Linked DNA regions of Drosophila melanogaster. The protein of the gene in region 1 interacts with the protein of each later gene in a pairwise test. Each region holds a gene or a part of one and is shown on either strand. Other genes may lie near its edges. The genes, in order: CG17230, CG5062, Bhmt and CG10814.

Evidence for each region.
Region 2: the proteins of CG17230 (region 1) and CG5062 interact in a two-hybrid assay, tested with the Drosophila melanogaster proteins (one large-scale study listed by BioGRID).
Region 3: the proteins of CG17230 (region 1) and Bhmt interact in a two-hybrid assay, tested with the Drosophila melanogaster proteins (one large-scale study listed by BioGRID).
Region 4: the proteins of CG17230 (region 1) and CG10814 interact in a two-hybrid assay, tested with the Drosophila melanogaster proteins (one large-scale study listed by BioGRID).

What each region holds. Positions count from the first base shown.
Region 1 is NT_033777.3:11,435,843-11,441,456, reverse strand, and holds the start of CG17230 (uncharacterized protein), read right to left. Parts: upstream 3,673-5,614; 5' UTR 3,577-3,672; coding exon of another isoform or gene 3,376-3,576; 5' UTR 3,358-3,375; intron 3,315-3,357; coding exon of another isoform or gene 3,092-3,314; intron 3,034-3,091; coding exon of another isoform or gene 2,771-3,033; intron 2,678-2,770; coding exon of another isoform or gene 2,570-2,677; intron 1,573-2,569; coding exon of another isoform or gene 822-1,572; intron 562-821; coding exon of another isoform or gene 472-561; intron 335-471; coding exon of another isoform or gene 211-334; intron 1-210. Other genes in the region: sals (sarcomere length short), read left to right, coding at 211-334, 472-561, 822-1,572, 2,570-2,677, 2,771-3,033, 3,092-3,314, 3,376-3,576; CG5281 (uncharacterized protein), read right to left, coding at 4,234-5,277.
Region 2 is NC_004354.4:5,179,245-5,184,336, reverse strand, and holds CG5062 (uncharacterized protein), read left to right. Parts: upstream 1-1,967; 5' UTR 1,968-2,156; coding exon 2,157-2,753; intron 2,754-2,817; coding exon 2,818-3,966; 3' UTR 3,967-4,155; downstream 4,156-5,092.
Region 3 is NT_033779.5:18,954,439-18,959,304, reverse strand, and holds Bhmt (Betaine-homocysteine S-methyltransferase), read left to right. Parts: upstream 1-1,993; 5' UTR 1,994-2,259; coding exon 2,260-2,874; intron 2,875-2,980; coding exon 2,981-3,361; 3' UTR 3,362-3,824; downstream 3,825-4,866. Other genes in the region: Nak (Numb-associated kinase), read left to right, coding at 1-1,005. UniProt on the Drosophila melanogaster protein: Involved in the regulation of homocysteine metabolism. Converts betaine and homocysteine to dimethylglycine and methionine, respectively.
Region 4 is NT_033778.4:13,375,024-13,379,792, forward strand, and holds CG10814 (uncharacterized protein), read right to left. Parts: upstream 2,709-4,769; 5' UTR 2,666-2,708; coding exon 1,773-2,665; intron 1,474-1,772; coding exon 1,158-1,473; 3' UTR 952-1,157; downstream 1-951.

The DNA.
Region 1 (5,614 bases):
GAACAACAAACAACTGAAACAAATTGCAAACTCATTAAATTAAAATTATATTTAATAACCGCGAGTGCACGCAGCGCCCGGCGATTTGCTCTAATGCCCAACGACCAAACCTCGCGCCCACTTGCACCACTTGCAGCGAGTGCCCCACCCACCATTTGGCAGAGAATAACCGCCGCCCACTTGGGTGCATTCCGTGTTTTATTGTTGCAGTTCCCGCCCCGCCGCCGCTGCCCTCGCTGGTGCCCAAGGCCCCGCCACCGCCGCCCCCGCCCCTAGCTCCCGGTGAGAAGAGAGTGCTCAGCAGCACACAGAAGGAGACCCTCGAGAAGCTCAGGTGAGTGGAAACCTCGACGACTGACCCATGAACCCTGACCACCGCCAGTGCTTGCATACCCGAATATCCTGGCATCGGGATAGTTTTTACCTTGAAGGCGCAGAATGGCCATAATTCCGATTCGCTTCGATTCGCAGGACTCGACCCCGAAGGCGCCCCGACTGGTCCGAGATGATGAAGGAGGTGGAGAGCGGCAAGAAGCTGCGCCATGTGGCCTGCAACGATAGGTGAGTGGTGTCCGCATGCTGTGCAGTAATTACCGACTGCAATACTCCCGATAATTAAAAAGGGAATGAAAACTGAAGTTATTTAAGGCCACAGGAAAGAGTACCTAGAGCATCTTACTGCGTTTACGCCACTTTATCCGGCAAATGTTAATGACTTTTACTTAAATTTTAAGTGTGCAGAAGTACCAGCAGCCAAATAATAGATAACTCTGCACGAAAATGTTCAAAAATCTCTTTTATAACAATTCAAATCCTAATAGATCTCAGCCCATCCTGACGTGCAAGTCGATAACCAAATTGGACGACAAGTTCATCTACGAGACGGAGAAGGGCAACTCGCACAACAAGCTGCTCAAGCAGATCCAGGGCGGCATCAAGTTGAAGCCAACGAAGACCAACGATCGCAGCAAGCCGGTGCTGGACGGTCTGCGCAAGTTCCGCCGACAGATGACCATCGAGGAGCAGTTGCAGAAGTCGCAGTCGAAGATCAACATGCTCAGCGAGGCGCCTAGCAGCCATGCACTCGGACCGGGCAGTGCCACGGCCTTGGGAGCCGGAGGATCCCGGCCCAGCATCGTATCGGCTATGTCCATCGACGAGGAAAGCCCCGACGAGCTGGACGACATCGACAAGATCCGCGACGATCTGCAGAGCACCAAACAAATGCTGGCACTGGAGTTGCGAAACCGTGAGGCGCAGGATCGCGAGAACAAGAAGCTGCTGGCCAAAATCCGCACCCTAGAGACCGAACTGGAACGCGAGAAGTCACGCGAAAAGAATCTCGAGTACGGATCCAATGTGATTGTGGCCACCATGGATCCTACGCCCACCGCCGAACAGACCTACGTCAACTCCCTGAAGCGCGAGGTAGAGGACGCACGGAAGGTGTCCAAGGAGGTGGAGCAAAACTATCAGAGCACCGCCGAGCAGCTGGTGGAGGCCAAGACGGAGATCGAGGAGCAGCGCCGCCAGATTCAGTTGCTCGAACGCAAGTTGGCAGCAGCTCTTCAGGTAATTCCTTTTGCAGAACGGGTTCGGTAATATGTATATGTAGGTAATGGGATGCTGCTCAAAGTGTTGTCAGTTGAGATTAGGATTTTGGATTACAACCATTTACAACATAACTATCTCCAAGGGTATGCAAAGCATCGGACTCCGAAGCTAGTCCTTCTTTCTTGTTTTTAGTGTCGCCGGCGTCGCCTCGCTGCGTCCGCTGAGGGCGGCAAGTAGACGGGAGCAGCTAACGAAGCCACCGCAATTCGTAGACTCCGCCTTAGATCCCTCGTTAGTTGTCCCTAGTAGCCACTGTAGCCAGAGAAACAGATCAGCTGACAACACTTGACACAAATGTGGAATGGGTCTGGGAAAGGATTACCCGTGGATACACCTTGTTTTCTTCCTTCTTAAAAACGGTTTGCACACGAGACTTAAAATACCAGAAATCTGATTGAAGCCAGCAGACAGCTTGCTGTTGAGAAGGAATCAGACAAGTTGAATAGTAAAATTATTATCAAGAGAAAGCGAAAAATGAAATTCAAAACTGACCATATTTTATCAAAGCTCAATTTGTATTAAATTTCGGAAGCCATACTTTTCAAGTAAGGTGCCTTCATCCCTTACCTGTGCTATCTGTTTGCTTGCACACAATTCCAGACAAAACAAAATCAAGTTTCTGGGGAAATGCTCAAAAGGTTCCAGAATTTTTCTTTAAGCAAATAATGGACCTGGCCATGCCATGGTAGACATTAAAAAATGTAATCTTTATCAAAACGAAACGAGAGGTATAAACAATGTCCGAAGATCTCGTGTGTAGACGACCTTAAACTCCAACTGCCGGACGCATGCTGCATGAAAGACTCCCGCCACCCGCATTCTGCTTCCGCCCAGACCAAAGCGGTGTTATGACCCGTCTAGGACACGTCCGGTCCCGATTCCTATCCCCCTGAAAGCTTTGCTATTGCACTCCGCGGCAACTAACCGATTAACCCGTTCACGCTCTCTTGCAAAGGCGACACCAAGCACTAACAGACCGCACATTAGTAATTGCTTTGCTTACGACGACGACGACTACGACGATTGCTTCCACTACGACCACTACCATGCAGCACGGCATCAGGTAAAATCAGGCCCCGCTCAAGGATGCCCTCACTAATCCAATGTGTGTATCCCTTCTTTCCCGTTTTCCGTTTTGCATTAACTGCGGCTGCAGGGCGGTGGATCCTTGGACGGATCGCGTCGACCAAGCGATGCAAACTTTGGAAGGGATAGCTCGCCGGAACTGGAGCCTGAGGTCAGCGAAAGCGATCCTGACGAGCCGGAGGAGAAGAAGGTGGAGCGCAGGGAGCGTCGCTCTGGCAAGGAGCTCAAGATCCTGCGTAGCAAGCTTACCAAACTGAAGGTCAAAGAGGAGGCGGCCAAGAAGGAGAAGGACGCCCTCAAGCAAGCCATGAAGAAGAACCAGAGTATCCTCAAGTGAGTACAAATTGTAATGTAGTATTGTTCTTAAACTGGAAACAACTCTGGATGACAGGGAGGAGAACAAGAAGTTTAAGAAGCTGGAGAAGGAGGTGCAGAAGATGGCTGCCTCCATGAAGCTAGACGAAGACGATGTGGACGGCGAGGAGAAGGACGAGGACGAAGAGGAGGCCGAGGAGGAGCACGCCAGCGAAGAAGAGGAGGAATCCGACGACGAGTCCGAGGAGTCCGAATCGGAGGAAAGTGAGGCGGAGACGGGCAGCGAGTCCGAGCCAGAGGTGAGTTAGCCCCAGAGAATCGTAAACTATTTAGCCAGCTCACCTGTACCGTATTCCGCAGGACTCGCCCAACTCCGCGAAGAAGGCGAATGTGGAGCCGCGCGTGAAGAAGCACGAGAGCCGGTTCGCGGCGATGAAGAAGTGCAATGTGCTGCTCCAGGCGAACGTCGACAATTTGCAGGATCAAATTGTGCAGGTGCGATCGCGGGCCACCAATCTGCAGGACGAACTGGACGCGGTTATTGCCGATTTGGGCTTCTAGTCCCTCAGCTTGTCTTCCGTTTCTGTTTCCGTTCCTTGCTCTGTTTTTTCGAGTGTGTGTGCTTCGAGAATATAAACATAAACAATAATAAACAAACAAACAAACGAAAAACTAGAGGTGGATGTAAAATTAATTCTGCAATCGATGTATGATGTCGATGTATGTATCGATGTCGCGCCGTCTGTATTCTACATGTAACGGAATTTTTACAAAGTAATGTAAAATGTTGTGTCGCTGTAGATTTGAAATTTTATTGTTTATTTATAACTATTTAAATGAATTATATAAAAATGTAGTGCAAATTTGCATGTAGAAGAGCGTGAAATTCAAATGCAAATTATAACTTGTTTTTATTTTATTCATAAGTTGTATTTATTACCGTATTTTAAGCATGTATAACAATGTACAAAACAACAAATCGGCGAAATTGGCTAAACTAAACACGCACTACGAGTATTTACTTATGAGTGGAGTGGATATCACGCGTCCCTTCTTATATATTTTGATTAATCTACGATCTGAGCCTTGATATAAGTAGAGTCTACGATGAATGAACCGGGTTTGCTGCCGGCCACTGATGCTTGCCGGGATTGGGTGAGAACGATGTGACAAGACGAGGGAGAAACCGCGAACTCTTTTAGTTGCTCTGGAACCACACTATTCCAGCAGGATGAGCCTGAATCGCTTCCGCAGCGACGACTCGCGTGGCAGGGTGCCTGCCCATTTCTTCAGGGCCGTCAGAACCACAGATCCCATCACCATCACCGCACCCACCAGCGAGTAAGCGGTGGGCGTCTCTCCGAAGAAGAGCATCTGCCAGACGAAGGCGAAGACGATGTCGGCGCAGCGAGCAATGGCCACTGGTCCGGCCTGTTCGATCTGCAGCGATAGCGTGAGCAGGATCTGGCCCAGGAAGCTGAATACGCCCAGTACAACGACCAGCCAACGATCCCGTCCGCAGCTTGGCCAGCACACAGCTCCAATAGATGCGCAAACGATCAGTGTGTAGACCAGAGCGATGGTACCGAAATTCGTCATGATGACGGAGAAGTGCAGGTTTTTGAGCGCCCGCAGCAGGATGTACACATTGGCTCCGAAGAGTGTGGATGATATGGCGGCCACTGGTCCCCAGATGTCGTACGTCTTCCCAGCGACATCCTCACTCTCCGCCGTGTCACCGAACACAAAGGGTGGGCGCGTGATGAGGACCACGCCGAGCAATGTCATATTGATGGTCAGGACATTGAACAGCGTACACGGCTCCTTGAGGAAGGCACGCGCAAATATGGCCACGAAAACGGGCGTGGAGAAGATGATGACACTCGCATCGGCCAGGGGCATGTGTCGGAAGGCATAGAAGCTGAGCATCAGACCCGTTGTGCCCATGAAGCAGCGCAGCAGCAGTATCACCCTCTTGCCCTCCGGAAACACCGGCTGTCGCGTGTATATCAGGATGGGCAGTGCCGGCAACAGGACTCCGACGAATCGAAACGAGGCCAGCTCCATGGGGTTCACGTCCACCAGTCCCTTCACAATCACCGAGCACAGGGAGAAGAAGAGCGAGGAGAGCGTGGCCAGCAGGATACCCAAGTAGGGACAATCGGCGCCCAATCGTCGCTGCAAGCGCTCCAGCCAACGGGGGGCGGGATCTGGGGGCGGGGCGCCCTCCTGGAACTGCTGAAGCTCGAGGTTTTCCGGCATTCTGTGGGGTTTCTTCTCTACAGTTTCTGGATTCCTTCAAAGTTTCAGCATCCTGCAAATGGGATTTGCATCAATATGTGTGCATGAGTGTGGGGAGTCTAATGGTAGCCCACCTGCCCTGAAAAATCGATTTCTTTCGATTGCCTTCCTTATTTACGCGCTGTGTCACTGTCTGCTGCCGCCTTTTCTGCGTTTTCAATGGCACATCGTTTCCCCGCCGCCAGTTTCACTGAGTTTTATTCATTGTTTGCACGCTCCGACTGCGTTTAATTAAACATTTTTAATTCTTTTCGCGAATGGAGATTCCGGAAAACCCTGTGGGCCAGTATTGCCACCC
Region 2 (5,092 bases), on another chromosome or scaffold:
TTTCAGTGGACCGGAAATTATCCCATGGTGACTGTGCGCATGTGAGCGGAGGTCCACTGTGTGTGTGTTGTGCTGCTGCTGCTGCAGCTGCGTGTGTGTGTTAGTGTGTGTGAGGGCCATGGCAAACTGGAAACTTTGCAAATGAATGGCAAGGCATTGGAAATAATGAGCCGTATTTACATTTCAAAGCGCTCGCACAGAGCGAGAGCTGTAAAAGTTTTTAGCCTCCCCAACGGACTACGGGTCAAAATCAGTTACGGAACTCTGAAATGAAGAAGGATTGCGAGAAAAGAGGAATAAACCCACGGAGGCTGTTGTTGTAGTAGTTGTAGTAGTAGTTGTAGTAGCATTGCACACGCACACGCACACGCACACAGATGAAGCCGGGTAAATCTCCTCCAGAGTTGTGTGGGGAGTAAATTGCGAAAGCTTTCGGTGGCAGGATTGCATACAATTTGTTTTATGGCCATGGCGTGCACATTAAACGCGCACTTAATCACACGCAATGGGCGTGGTCGGTGGATCGTCCCACCGCCCACCATCGTCGTCGTCGTCTACGGCGACAAATCAAATTGATTTCGCTTTTCTGGCTGGCTTGCCCGCTGCCCTTGCCCAAAAATTTGTACGCCCCCTTTTTTTTTTTTGCCCCTTTTGTTGTGTTGTTTTGCGCCTTATTAAATCACTTTTATTGCCATTGAAATGTGAGAAAAGTTTTACGGAGACGATGCCCCCCCTTGTCGTATATATTATAGTACGTAATATGATTTTTAGCTGCTTGCCAAAAAAAAAAAATAATTCATATTTATGGCAAAAACTTCACGCTCAGCGCGATGTGAGAAACATCGGTGTTATTGATGTCTGGCGAACAGGAGTGTATTTCGGGCGGAACCCATGCAGTCAGAGGTGGTCGCTGTTGGTTGTCCATAGTGAAGGCAACCATTTGCCCCACGGCCACCACACCATCTCATCGGAATCTCGAGTATTTGGTATTGGGTGTCGAGTAGCGTAGTAGATGGAGATGTCTCTTTGTGCGCCCAACAACACAAGCGCCACACAAATAGACAAGACAAACACTATGGGCTGGATATTGAGTTTCGGTTTCGAATTCTCTTCCAGCATTCGTCATATGACGACTAAAATGGAATTTGGTCAGTATCGAGTGCACAAAAGACTCCGGCTAGTTAAGTTATACATATACCAAAATACCGTAAAATAAGCATAACTTGAGCAAAAATAATCATTTTCGAGCACTTTCGAGCAGCAAGTGACATGCGGTATTATAGCCCTGCTTAAAAGCCAGCTTGTTGAACTATATATATTCCTCCATTATCCTTTTTTTTCTCTCACCAGCCTAATCTACGGGCAACAGCGAGATTTTCACAAAAAAAATATATAAAAAAAATAAACCAGCGACCCCTATATTCAGGCACTGCGTTTCAGCGAGGCGTGTAATTAAATTTTCATGCCACCTACCTGGTGGCTGGATTTCGAAGGGAGAGTAGGCGGTGGGGCAAGCGGGCCATGGGCGTGGCACTTACATACAAAGAATGCAAATTGTCGGGGCTATTCCAAAATGCAAGCATCAACGCCTTCGAATGCAACCAAAGCAGGCGGAAGTAAATGCAGCAGCGGCGGCAGCCTTTCCCTTTTTCCCCCAACTAGCTTTCCATATATCCTCGCCCCCCCCCCCCCCCCTTCACTTATCCTCTAGTTTTTCCTTCTCACCTGCCACTCGACAAAAAACGACACTCAAGTGGTCAGGTGTGAACAAGTGTAGAAGCAGCGTACACGAGCATGTTTAATTTTGGGATACTCAAATGTATAACCGACCTATTAAAGGAACTCTATGATTCAAAAAGTACCTGTGAGCCTACATTCCCAGCAAATACCCTGTAATTGTAATGCTATACCCAGCAAGCTTTGAATTCATGTAGATTTAACCTGCCAGATTCGATTGGATAAACAAACGAAATATACGAAACAAGCAAACAAAACAAGAGCCTCCGAGCAAATAACACAAACAGACACGCCAACAAACCGAACAAAGGAACAAACTCAATAGCTAAGCGAGAAATCTGCTATTGCGTTTTACCCCACACCCCTCTGGCCATTTGCAATTTCAAACGCGATATACATATAGAATAGAATTCGTCAAGATGCCAATGGTGATGCCATGTCGTTCGCGAGCTGCGATGAAACTGCACCCGGATTGCTATGATCGACTTAAGAAGCCGATTTATCTGGAAACGCCACCATTATCGACCGTCGAAGAGGAGCCACTATGTGGCGTACGCCGTGATAGACCCGTAAAGCCAAAGGTTCAGAGGCGACCATTACCGCCCGGCACACGTCTACCGAATCCAGTAGCCGTGCCTGGACAGAAGATCACACGTTCGGCGGTGGGTGGCGGTAAGGCGCCACCGCGAGCCCGAAAATACGACGGTGCCAAGGCCACGTTCTTTCACATCAAGGGTCAATCATGGGAATCCAAGGGCTATGCGGAGCTCTCACAGTGCGAACTGGATCGCATGCGGGCATCGAGGCCGCGTACCACCGAGGAGCGTCGCGCGGAACAGGATCGCCGGATGGAGGAGCAGCAATATCATACAGCCGAAGCGGAACGTATGCGTAACTATTTCCACGACATTGATGAGCAGCGCAGGGAGAAGGAGCGCGAGGCCCAGAAGAGGGACGATGACGAGGCCGATGAGGATGTCAACGAGGATCGGCGTGCGGAGGCCAAACGATTGCAGGTAGTTTTTTGGTTTATGGTTCTTAGCCATATTTCCGAAAGTATATCTCCACCACCCATTGTAGGTACTACACCGCGCCTTGGATGCCAAATACGAGTCAGATGTGCGAGTTAAGGATGCCACGCGTGCGATATCCGAGGCCAAATGCAGTGCCATGTGGACGGCTCAGATACAGGAAAGGAAGCTACTCAATCGCATTCAACTCGATCATGACGAGGAGATGGCTCGCAAGAATCGCGACTACAACAATGCCAAATGGGGCACGGTGGAGCAGCAAGATCAGGCCGAAGAGGAGAGGCGCCGGCAATTTGGCAACGCAGTGCGTGAACAAATCACTGATCGCGAAAAGTTACGTTTCCTGGCCCAGGATCGTCTGCGATTGGAGGCGCGAGACTTGCGTGCCGCCGTCGATGAGTATAAAAAGGCTGAATTGGCAGAGGGCGAGATGAAATCGCGCCGTAAGCTGGCCTATCGGGATGAATTGAATAAGTATACGAAATTGCATCGCAATTTCGTACGGATGATGTGCGAACAGGATCAAAGAGATGAGAACAGGGCCTACGAGTATCTAAAGCTCAAGGAGCAGCAATTGAAACAACAGCGAGCGGAACGCGAAGCCATCGCGGCGGATGAGAAACGCAAACGGGATGTTCTCTTTGCAGTCGGCCAAAAGATTCTCGATGCTAAGGATAATCGCGAGGAGATGCATTTCCTGGCGGAACACGAACGCCTCGAACGAAAGTACAGAGAAAACGAACGTAAGGCAGCCGAAAAGGAACGCAAAATGGCCGCCGAACTCAAGCGTGCCAATATGGAGCAAATGGAGCATCTTAGCCAAATGAAGGCCTGCTTCTATGTGCAACGTGAACGCGAACTAAAGGAGATGATCGAGTATCGAAAGAAGCACGAGGAGCAAATGAAGCGCGAGGCCGAGGAGCAGGCCATCAAAAAGGCCTGTCTGCGCTCCAGTGTCTCGTGCCAAATCGAAGAACGGGAGAAGGCTCGTCGCCGCGAACTGGAGGAGGAACACTTGGCCTTCGAAAGGGAGCGGGCAGCTGAGGCGCAGCGGCAAAAGGAAATCGATACGGTGATCACAGTCAAACTGGATGATCTACAAAAGCGCGGATGTCTGCCCAATTTGGCGGTGCAATCGCTAAAGGGTCGTGTCGCCAATGCTGGCAACAAAAAGAAGCTGGGCGCTGAATTCACTTAGATAGTTATATTTTCTAAAAATCCATCCATAGACAGACAGCATCAAACACGCGCACACACTCACTCCCACACACACACACACACACACACACAGACACACACATGAACTCAAGTTGACAATGGCATAGATGATGACTTTTCGAGCTTGGCGGAATTAAAACTTGCAGCACATATAAAATGTACATAATGTATATGCACGTATTTTAGCCACCCTGTGGTGGCAACTTTTCCGTGTGTTCCTCGCCTTTTTTGTTTGCTGTCAATTCAACAAGTTAAAACTGCAGACCGCAGACAAAAGGATATATAGACTGGCACTCATTAAGCAGCAGCTGATAGAGCAAACAAAGTTTTTTCTATCGCTGCGCTCACTCTTTTGCATGTATTAAATATGCACACAGATTGCACACGGTATTCGGTGCAACTAAAAGTCAACTTTATCCTGTCGCATTTGCGGCTGCAAAAATAATTAGCCACACAAGTAATCAAAAACAATGGGTTCAAATGCAGTTTTGGGCAGTGGTGTTACTGTTTTATTTAAGGTTAATTATTAACTAGTTTATGATCTAGGGATTTCGCGCAGTTTTGTTGAATATCATTTATTCGTATAAAGGATAAAAACTAAGCAAAACACGCAGCGAAATCGAGTATAAATCACAAAAGAGGCGCCACAGCCACGCCTTCTCGCACGAAGCTATCAATTCTGTAAAGTCAGAGAACAGAACGCTGAGATTAATTGAGTTGGATAAATTTCGCCGGGCTAATACGTCTTTGGGAATTAACCCACGATAGATGAGTGGGGGTTAAAAAGGCGCACACAGACACACAAGGATTAGGGTAAATTAAGTTGAGTTTAAGTAGAGAGGCATTTGTTTCACTTAAATTCGCGAAATTAGCAAAAATTAATTTCACTCGGATGACTATTGATTCGATTTTGTGAAATATTCACAAGAAACAGGCACACGGGCACGAATGGGTTAAGCTGACCGTGACTGCATGGCTGTGGGTCATCCATCCATCGGCATAGCGGCGGGTTAATGATGCAGAAGAATATTGCCCTTGAATGAACTAGCAGCAAGCAAAAAGGCCGAGATGAATGTGTTTCTGGGTTAGCAGAAAATGCCTCTCAA
Region 3 (4,866 bases), on another chromosome or scaffold:
ATCGAACAGAACCCACAGCACCACCAGATCCACCAATTTCCCAGCCACAACAACAATAACAATGTGATCAAAGTGCCCGCCTCCGTATCTGTTGCTCTTCCTGCCTCCGTTCCTGTATCTGTTTCCGTCAATTCGTCTGCCCCACAACTGGTGACCATAAATCACTCGATTATTATCAACAAAACGCCGGAGCCACCGATGAACTATAATAATAATAATAATAACCAGACTGCTAAGTCGAGTGGCACCAGCAGTGTCTATGTGAATGTGCCGTCTTTCTCCAGCATGAGCACCAGTTCCTGCTCCATTAACCAGCCACAATCCTCACCAGCAGCTGTGATTCCAGTTCAGGCACCTCTTCCAGTTCCAGTTCCTGCCCCTGTTTCCGTTCCAGCCGTTCCAGTTCCAATACCAGCGGTCGTTACCCATCTGCGTCCTTTGCTGCCCATTGCCGATAATGCGTATGTGCAAATCTCCCAAGATCGCTGCTCAGATTTCACACCGGACGACGAGGAGGAACCCGTGGTGTTGCGTGATGCCGATGTGGTGGCAGACGGAATCGGTATACCTACCCCTGCGAAACCCAAGAAGGAGAAGTCCAATCTGGCTGTAAGGGTTCTGCCGGGAAAGCTCACCCAAAAGGTAAAGGGGCATTCGTACAAAAAAGTAAGCGCGGCTGCCCTTGGATCCACCAGTTCCCTTAGTTCCGGCAGCAAGCAGAAGCACCAGCGATTGCAGTACCAGTCCCACGATGATGACGACGACGAACAGGATCAGGATGAGAATCGAGGTGCTGGAGGCGGCCGCAATTTCCAATCAAACACCATTCAAAATTCTGCCAAAACCGGCTTCAGCAACATGAGCTTTGAGGACTTTCCCTCGGATCAGGAAATGGATCGTCTGTCCAGGACCATTCCCTTCGAGGTGGTTAGAAACGAAAAGATGTTACTCGAGGCGGAGAAGAAGTTCGGCTCCCTCAAGCGACGGAACAACTTGTTCTCATAATGTGGACAGTGGGGCGAGACCATCAAGGAGACCTGAGACTGAGTGTTTCAAATTATGTTGACATTTCGTTTAAGCTTTTCTCCGTTCCGTTTTTAATGTGGGGTTCCAAAAATAACCAATATCTGTATTTTTTGAATATAGTATTTATTCGCGTGTAGCAATGTTAAAAAGTGGCTAGTACCCATACATATTATACACACAACAAGAACAATACCTATAACTGTTATTTAGTGCAAAAATTTAAACTAGTTTTAGAAGCGAAACATGTTTTAGAATTTATACAGTGCGTAAGTTTACCAAAGTTACATTTATTTTTGTGGCATTTTTCAGCTTGAAGTATTTCATGAATTATATATTTATACAAAACTATGTGATTATACACCCACACCCAATAACAACCAAAAAAAAAAAAAAAACAATTTATCACCTAAGCCAATTGCATTCACTAACACACCAAGGTATTTAAGAATTAATTATTCTATCCGTATCGAATAACATACGCGTTTATGTTAGTACACCAATTGTTTTGCATTATGTATTATCTCGACTATATAAAATATGCATATTGTATTTATAATTTACTTCAGTGTTTTCTTTGGTTTCCTTGGGAAAACGCAACAAACTTGCCGCCCTCTCCTAAGCGAATGAAATTTGTATATCATCAACTGTATCAGCTGTTGGGTTGCTTCTAGACAAAAGATAATGCACAGACATCTGTTGCTTATCGAAAAAAATGTATATATAATGTTGCGGTTAAGTACCTCATACAAGTTTTTCTTCTCGTCAACCGCTTGTTGCTATTTTAGTACCTTTGTGACATTAAATGCCATTGAATTTTTACATTTTTACAGTAGGAACTGAACATAACTTGATTCCTACTTGTTTCGAAACATCTTTGATTCTTTATTAGATAACTATATTATTATTTTATTATATTATATGTAGCTATGTAGCTAGCTACAAAATTCAAGACACATTTCTTAGAATTCCAACTTATCGAGTGCTCACTGCACTCGTAAACAAAGAACAGCTGAGATGTGTTAGGGTATGTGTAGGTTTTTGCGTTGTGGAAACTCATACAAGATAAGCGGAAAAAGTTGCCAGCCCAAGCGAAAAAATCCGACAAAAATAACAAAAATTCCAAGTCGGCAATACTTACAATATCACGTATCTGTCAGATACGAAATTTTGTCGTATCGCATTGTACGCTTCCAGAAATTTGCAGTTTAACGGAAAACGTACAGCAGTGAAGACATGGAAGTGAATCAAAAATGGAACTGGGACACCAAGCCAATTCTGGTCAAATGCGGAGGATTCTCCTCGCAATTGGCCAAGAATGTCACCGAAAAAGTGGACGGTGATCCACTGTGGGGATCGCGATTCGATGCCACCAATCCGGAAGCTGTGATCCAAACACATCTGGACTTTCTTCGCAACGGAGCGGATATTATTCTAACCAACACGTATCAGTCCAGCGTCGAGGGATTCGTGAAGTACCTGGGCGTGACCAGAGAACGAGGTGTGGAGTTGATCCAAAAGAGCGTTCAACTGGCCAAGCAGGCAAAGGAACAGTACCTTAGCGAAATCGGTTCTGAAGCGGAGTCGGCTCTTCCACTGATCATGGGCTCAATAGGTCCATATGGCGCCTATCTCCACGATGGATCTGAGTACACCGGCAACTATGCGGACAAGATGTCCAAGGAGGAGCTGAGGGCGTGGCACAAGACAAGAATTGAGATTTGTCTCGCAGCTGGAGTGGATGGATTGGCCCTGGAAACACTTCCATGTCTGATGGAGGCAGAGGCAGTCACCGAATTAGTACTGGACAACTTTCCGGATGCCAAATTCTGGGTCTCCCTGCAGTGCATGGTGAGTAATATCGCAAAAAACAATAACATTCTTTATACAAAACAAGGGTAAAAAATATATCGTTCAATTACATTTAAAAATCCACTTTATGTTCCGATATTTTCAGGATGAAAAGCACATGGCTAGTGGAGAAAACTTCGCGGAGGCGGCTCTCTCCCTCTGGCGGTTGGTCCAAAGTCGGAAGGCTGAGAACCGGCTCCTTGGGATCGGTCTGAACTGTGTAAACCCACTATTCGTGACCCCTTTGCTATCATCGCTTACCAAAGTGGCCGGTTCGGATCGCATCCCACTGGTGGTCTACAGCAATCGCGGCGAGATCTACGACGTCGAGCAGGGAGATTGGACTGGAACCGGCGAGGAGGTGGTCAAGTTTGTGCCCGAGTGGATCCAGCTGGGAGTGCGCATCGTTGGCGGCTGTTGCCGGGTCTATCCGACGGACGTGTTGGCGATCCGCAAGTACGTCGATGGCCTCAACATAAAGCCGTAATCGGGAGAGAACTCCGGTCACTGATAGCAGCCTTGTCGCTAATGCGAAAGCTGTTTCGTGTGACTAGACCTAGACCTATTTAGTTTGCTAAATACATATACGCGAGTACTAGATGTACCCAGATCAGATGGCTTCCTAATCAGCAGAGTGTGGAAAAAAGCGTGGACGGCTGGCTGGGAGACAAACACAGATTAGGCGGGCGGACCAAAGGTAAACAAGTGGGCTGGGGATATGGGCAGACGTTCGCCCAACGACTGTTTTTGCCAACCTAGCTCAATTTTTGAGTCCAAATCAAAACAATTTTCTATTCAATTATAACACAAAAACGTGCATTTGTCCTTTGAAAAACTTGCTGTGTTCTTAGCTTTCTATTCTTTATAGCCGGATTTAAATTCTTTAAAATTAATATTGTTAAAAGTGTGTATGTATGTACTGATGTAAAGCAATAAACTACAAAAATATCAAAAATAGTTGTTTTAGTTATCTTCAATATATCATATTTTTAGTACAGTATTAAAATAATATCTTCATTAGAGATTCATCAAATCTAATCACTTCTTACATATGTACCAAGGCAAACGCCTTCTGGTACGCAAGGTACTTTATAGAGAAGGGTATGCCCTTCTATTCTTGCGGTTCTCGACTTTATCACTATGAAAGATATTTCAAAATTTTTTGGAACTTCATACCGCATTTTTAAAAGAGTACTTACATTTTTGGCTGTTGAAGCTTTTGAGGATGGTGGAGCCACATGTCCACCTATTGCACTCTGACCCAATCTGGCAATCAGCCTAATCGGATACTTCGTTCAAAAAACATGATTTTAACGGCCATTTTCAAATTGAAAGCCTTTTGTCGGTCAATCTCTTACTTTACATTTTACTTTATTTATTTATTTATTTATTTATTTTTTTTTTGTCCAAATATTAATAACAATCATCACTTTAAGCTCATCTCTTTTAGAGGAGATTTTATTTGATATATCTTATGTCTTATTTCCTGTTCATTAGCGATTTGTTTACCAGAATAGGGGTTAAATGTTGTTTTTCTCTTTGACATCAGTAGACCTATTTTTGGACCATAATCTATTGAGTGCGGTCGGAAGCTCACCCATTTTCCTTTAAGGAGGACAGAGTCAACAACCAAGTACATCTTGAAGTGTTGGTCCTAGGCGGCGTCCAGAGGTTATCGGCGTCGACTTAGCAGATGCGACATCCCGAGCAGAGTCACTCGGAAGCCAGAACCACGCACAGCGGCGCTTTGACGATTTCATCAGCTTCATCAGCCTCGTGGAGGGGGAGTCGCAGTCCACCCGGACAATCCAATCTGGCTGGCCAGCGTCTGGCAGCTGTGCACCGGGCTTATCACCCACTTGGTGGGGGCACTCTCATGTTTGTGTTTGCCGTTTTGTTTTGTTATAAATTATTATAAATATTATAAATTTCGCCCTGATAAGCCGAGCCGCACAGCTGAGTGGCCCTTCGGAAAGTATAAAAGCCCCTCGA
Region 4 (4,769 bases), on another chromosome or scaffold:
CGGGGCACAACCCTTTCGGCCTGTTGCTGCCACAGCTACTTCCAGTGCTTATTATGTGGATTATTAGAGGGATTTACCCGATGCCATGTACAAATTCATGTGCTCCAACTCGGATTTCGGATTCCGGCTGCTGGCTGTCGGATGCCGGGTTGCTTCCTCTGCTACCTCACTTGGTCCTGGTGGCATCAATGACATAAATAAAAAGATTTCCAAAGGATTTGCCTGCGGGACACCGCACCCAAACACCCGAAAAGAAAAGCGAAGGGAAAACACCCCGACATTCCAGCCAAGTTTTCCCAGTCCAATGAAAATCATGAAGGTGTGTGGGTGTGATTTACTCGCATGCCAAGAGCTAAGAGCTCTGCCAAGTCGGTGTTGATCTGGGCATTGCCATAAATTGATAATAGAAATATATACCTATTGTACATATACATATATATGGACATACTGGTTGAAATTTGACTCAACTGGCCACTGATAAGCCACTTTGTTGCCCGGCGTAAACAATGACGTGTGCTGGACTTTCACTTCCAGTGGCCTGTTTGGCTAGCAGTTGTTGAATCACGGATTTGCCTGCATACCCTGTAATTTAGGTTAGGTTATCTAATATTGCTCATGAAGCAATTTATACTCTTACCATTTTAAATTAAATTAATATTTTCCAATTTTTGTTGAATTGAATACTTATAGTAGTCTCCAAAATTCTACCTATATATTTACGAATGAATAATACATTTTATAGTTTTGAATATCAGCGTATAGTCTAATATTCCTATGTCACTTTCTTACAGGGTAGCGAAACTAATAGAATTACTTATCAGCCAGAGATGTTCACGTTTAACAGATTAGTAAACTTCTCGAGTGACTTCTTCTTCCTCTTCAAAATGCCTTAAATCACACGTTTAACCCAATTAAATAATGTCAATTAGCATTGAAGCGTGTCAAAGGATTAGAAACCATTAAAATAGTATTTATTCAAAATGTCAATAAATGGTTTAATTTCTCGAGCACAATAAATTCGAAAGTAATCTAATGATTCTACTCTGTCTATTGCTACCACATTGCGATGTCAATCAAAGCATTTTGGCATTGATAGATGGCTAATTAATGTAGCCATAACATAACATGTGCTTGCTGCTCCTGCTATCTAAGGAGCATCAGGTGGCTTTGGCATTCCGCAGGACCCTCAGGCGCGAGTACACAATGTCCCAGTCAACGAAGGCGCCCAGAATGTGGCGCACATTGCGGTCCGTGTCGTCGTACCCGGTACGTCCGTGGACCAGGCGCAAATTGTCGAACGTGAGCACGTCGCCGGGCGTGGTCTTGAATCTGCAGGAGTGCTCGTGGGCCAGGCCCACAAAGGTGGCCATCGCCTCGTACCACGGACGCACCTGCTCCACCGGCACGCTAAAGTGGCTGTCGCGCTGCGGAATGCTGTGGTTGATGCGCACACACCGGCCCTCCGCGTCCAAGCTGCAAGAGATCGAAATGTTAGCCAAGTTCTGCTGGGGCAACTATGCATTTCCCCTCGTCAACAAATTGTTACCTCCACCTAAAAATATCTGAAATATTTTTCAAGATAACTGAAACATTTCAAGTTGCGAGAAAAATAGATTTTAAAAGTGCAGAATTTGCTTGAAAAATATGAACTCAAAATAAGCATTTTTATAGTCTGACTGCACCTAAATGTATTCTTAAGTCGCCCTAAGCAATCAAAGGAACTCCATCAATATAAATCTCCTTTACTGGACTCCCAATCTAAATCTACTCACTTGATGACCGGTGCCCTCCAGATATTGTGAAACTGCAGATCGCCGTCGCTTCCGATGTCCGCCCAGTCCACGGGAGTCTGGCAAAGAACCCGGAACTGCTCCGGATAGCGTTCCCTCATCACCTCCGCCACATAGAAGGCATCGGCCAGCAGATTGACACCCCCGGGCGACGCGGACTGCTCCAAGGTGTGCAACATGGTCACTCCGGGCAGGTACTCAAAGTAGGGCATATCCGTGTGTAGCGGGAGTGGTGCGGCCAAGTAGGCGTAGTTGCTGCCTCCAGGCTGAGCCCGAACACTGAACTCCTCTCCATAGGTGGTGCGCCTCATGAAGCCCACTCGGTTGGACAATCTCCGAAGGACGTCCATATCGAGAGGGGCTTCCTTGACCATGGCCACTCCGTAAACTGCCAGATGCTGGAGCCATTGCTGCAACGCCGAATCGCAATCGAGCAGTTCTTGGTAGTAGAACACCTGACGGATTTTCTCAAAGTCCAGACCGCTCCACAACTTCTGCTCCGGGCGGTAAAAGTCACGCAGGTAACGCTGGCGATTCGCGTATGAGAAGTCCCGCTCCCTCAGCCAACTGAACGGATACTGGGAGGTATGTCCATCGGACCACTCTATACACAGGACCCTCTGGTCCACGTCCACGCTCTGCCGCAGGACCCGCACACTGGTGTCCAGATGGTTCCACAGCTGGGGCAATCTACTCAGTGTCTGTGGCAGATAGCACTCCTCGCAGCGGCAATTATCGCGCAGCCAAATGTCTGGAAACTGCATGTCCCGACGATCAGGATCGGGAACCTGAACCAGGCGCGACTGATCCTGCTCCTTTGGCAGAGCCAACTTAAGCGGTTGGCTGGGCAAATCTCGGCGGTCCGCTTGGAACATCTTGAGCAACCTACCACTATGTCTTCCGATTGCGGAATGATGTGCCTGATTAGGGCGGTGAGCAAGAAGCCCACGCTCAGGGGTACGTGGCCAAATTGATGGACCAGATTAAATAACGCGTGATGTTTACATAGCTACACTTAAAAAAAGGAAGTACGTACTATATTTTTCTAAGTTTTTAAGCTGTTTGCTTATATTTGCTGTTTGATATTTAAGAATTAGCTGAGAAATGACAAGAAGCCTTGCGTAATATGTTCGAATATCATATTATCACCTGATCCAATTTATTATACTATTATATATGTTATCCCTTAGATGATATACTTTAGATATATTGTATGTAGACATACTGTTTAGAATATATTTTCCTAAATACATACTAATTTATGTGAATACTTTGATATTTGTAACTTATTGCATAAATATAGATATCTAGAAACTCGCTTTTTTTTTCTTTAAGTGTTCGACCATCCAAGTCTAACCCTTATCAATCCTTTGTGAGCAGTGCAGATTGCTGTCGCAGCGTTTTTTTTTTTCTTGTTTTTAGCTGGGCTCCCCTTGCTTAAAGCCCCCGCCCGCCACTGGAGCTGTAAAATTAAAAATGCAAAATTAATTTCTGCATAAAACTGCTAACGCCAGCGATTTTGCATAATTGTTTGCCAGCTGCAGTCGAGCTGGAAAGGGGCGTGGCTGTGGAAAAGCGCGCCATCTTCGACAGCCCTTTCATGGCGCCTCCCCCCATGCCACGGCGACGCCCCTGGTCGCGGGAAGTGGCGTCAATCATTGTTAGGCGCATTGATCACTTCATTCACATGCTCACATGCCACACCCACATCGATTGTTTCACTCAAACCAGTGGTGATTGCAATGCGAACATCCTGCTCGACAGCGTTGGAAAATCATAAACAATAACCATTTCATGCCGGGGAAAACAACAACGAGCAGAGAATCGGCCGGCAACAAGCATATCTGGTAACCAGTATATATGGCGCGATTTTTAATTATCACTTTCGCATTCGCATTCGCATTCGCATTTTGTATTCGAGTGTATTGTCTGGCGCGAATACGACTCGTATCTATCCATCTACGGCGGCTCTATAACCGCCATTTCCACCATTTCCACTTCCATTTGCATTTCTCCCCGAAACAAAGAATGCGAGTGGAACAATCCATCGAATGCTCAGCTTTTAGCTGAGATTCTTCTCAGCGAGTAAATGTATCTTAAATGTAAGATATAAGGTATCGCAGATACATTGCCAACAAGTTATGAGAAGATATAGCTTGAATAAAGGTAGAACGTTTCAATGGATTGGTTTTAATGTATATTTTTAAGAAAGTATTGTAAAAAATTATATATCTTGTTGTGATAACTTTATTATATTAGTACTAGGCCTACAGCAGATTCTAAGAAACTTGAAGAGCATTAGAAATGCGGTATGCAGCACGATGCAGCGTCTACATTTCATGCATTGTTTGGAAGGAGTCCCAGTTTCCCCCAGCAGAACTTTATTGTTTTCAATTAAAAACACTCACAGCCCATTCAGCTAACGAATCCATTCGCTCGGCAGTTTTCATTGCGAGTATTCCCGTATTCATAGGCTCGAAGGCAGCGGCAGCGAAAGCCGGCGACATGACACAATTGCAGATGCAAGTGAAATGTAATGAGGTGTAATGAAAATGCATTCAAGTGACAGTTTTTCCCCATTCGCCGCGCAGCTCCATTTCGCCAGCCCACCTGCACTTAACAATAATCAGGCACAACAATAGTGACAAATATCGATGAAATGAGCGATGAGACAGAGTAATGAATTTCTCGGAGAAAAAAAAAAGGTAGATTCACTCAAAGTGTTTATTTTGAAAAGCAGCGATCCGAATAAGTCTGTTTTTATTTGTTATTTTTTAATAACATTTCAAAACAGGCAAATCCGTGTTATCGGTTTACTTCGCAACCGATCAAAACATACCGCAAATTATGCATAAACATCGAGTACAACACTTACGAAAATTAAACAAAACCCGCAGCGACCGCAACATATCCAGCGAAACATGGCCGAAAACCGAAATTGGTTTATTTATTTCGCTGGCCATCAAATTGCAAATAAAT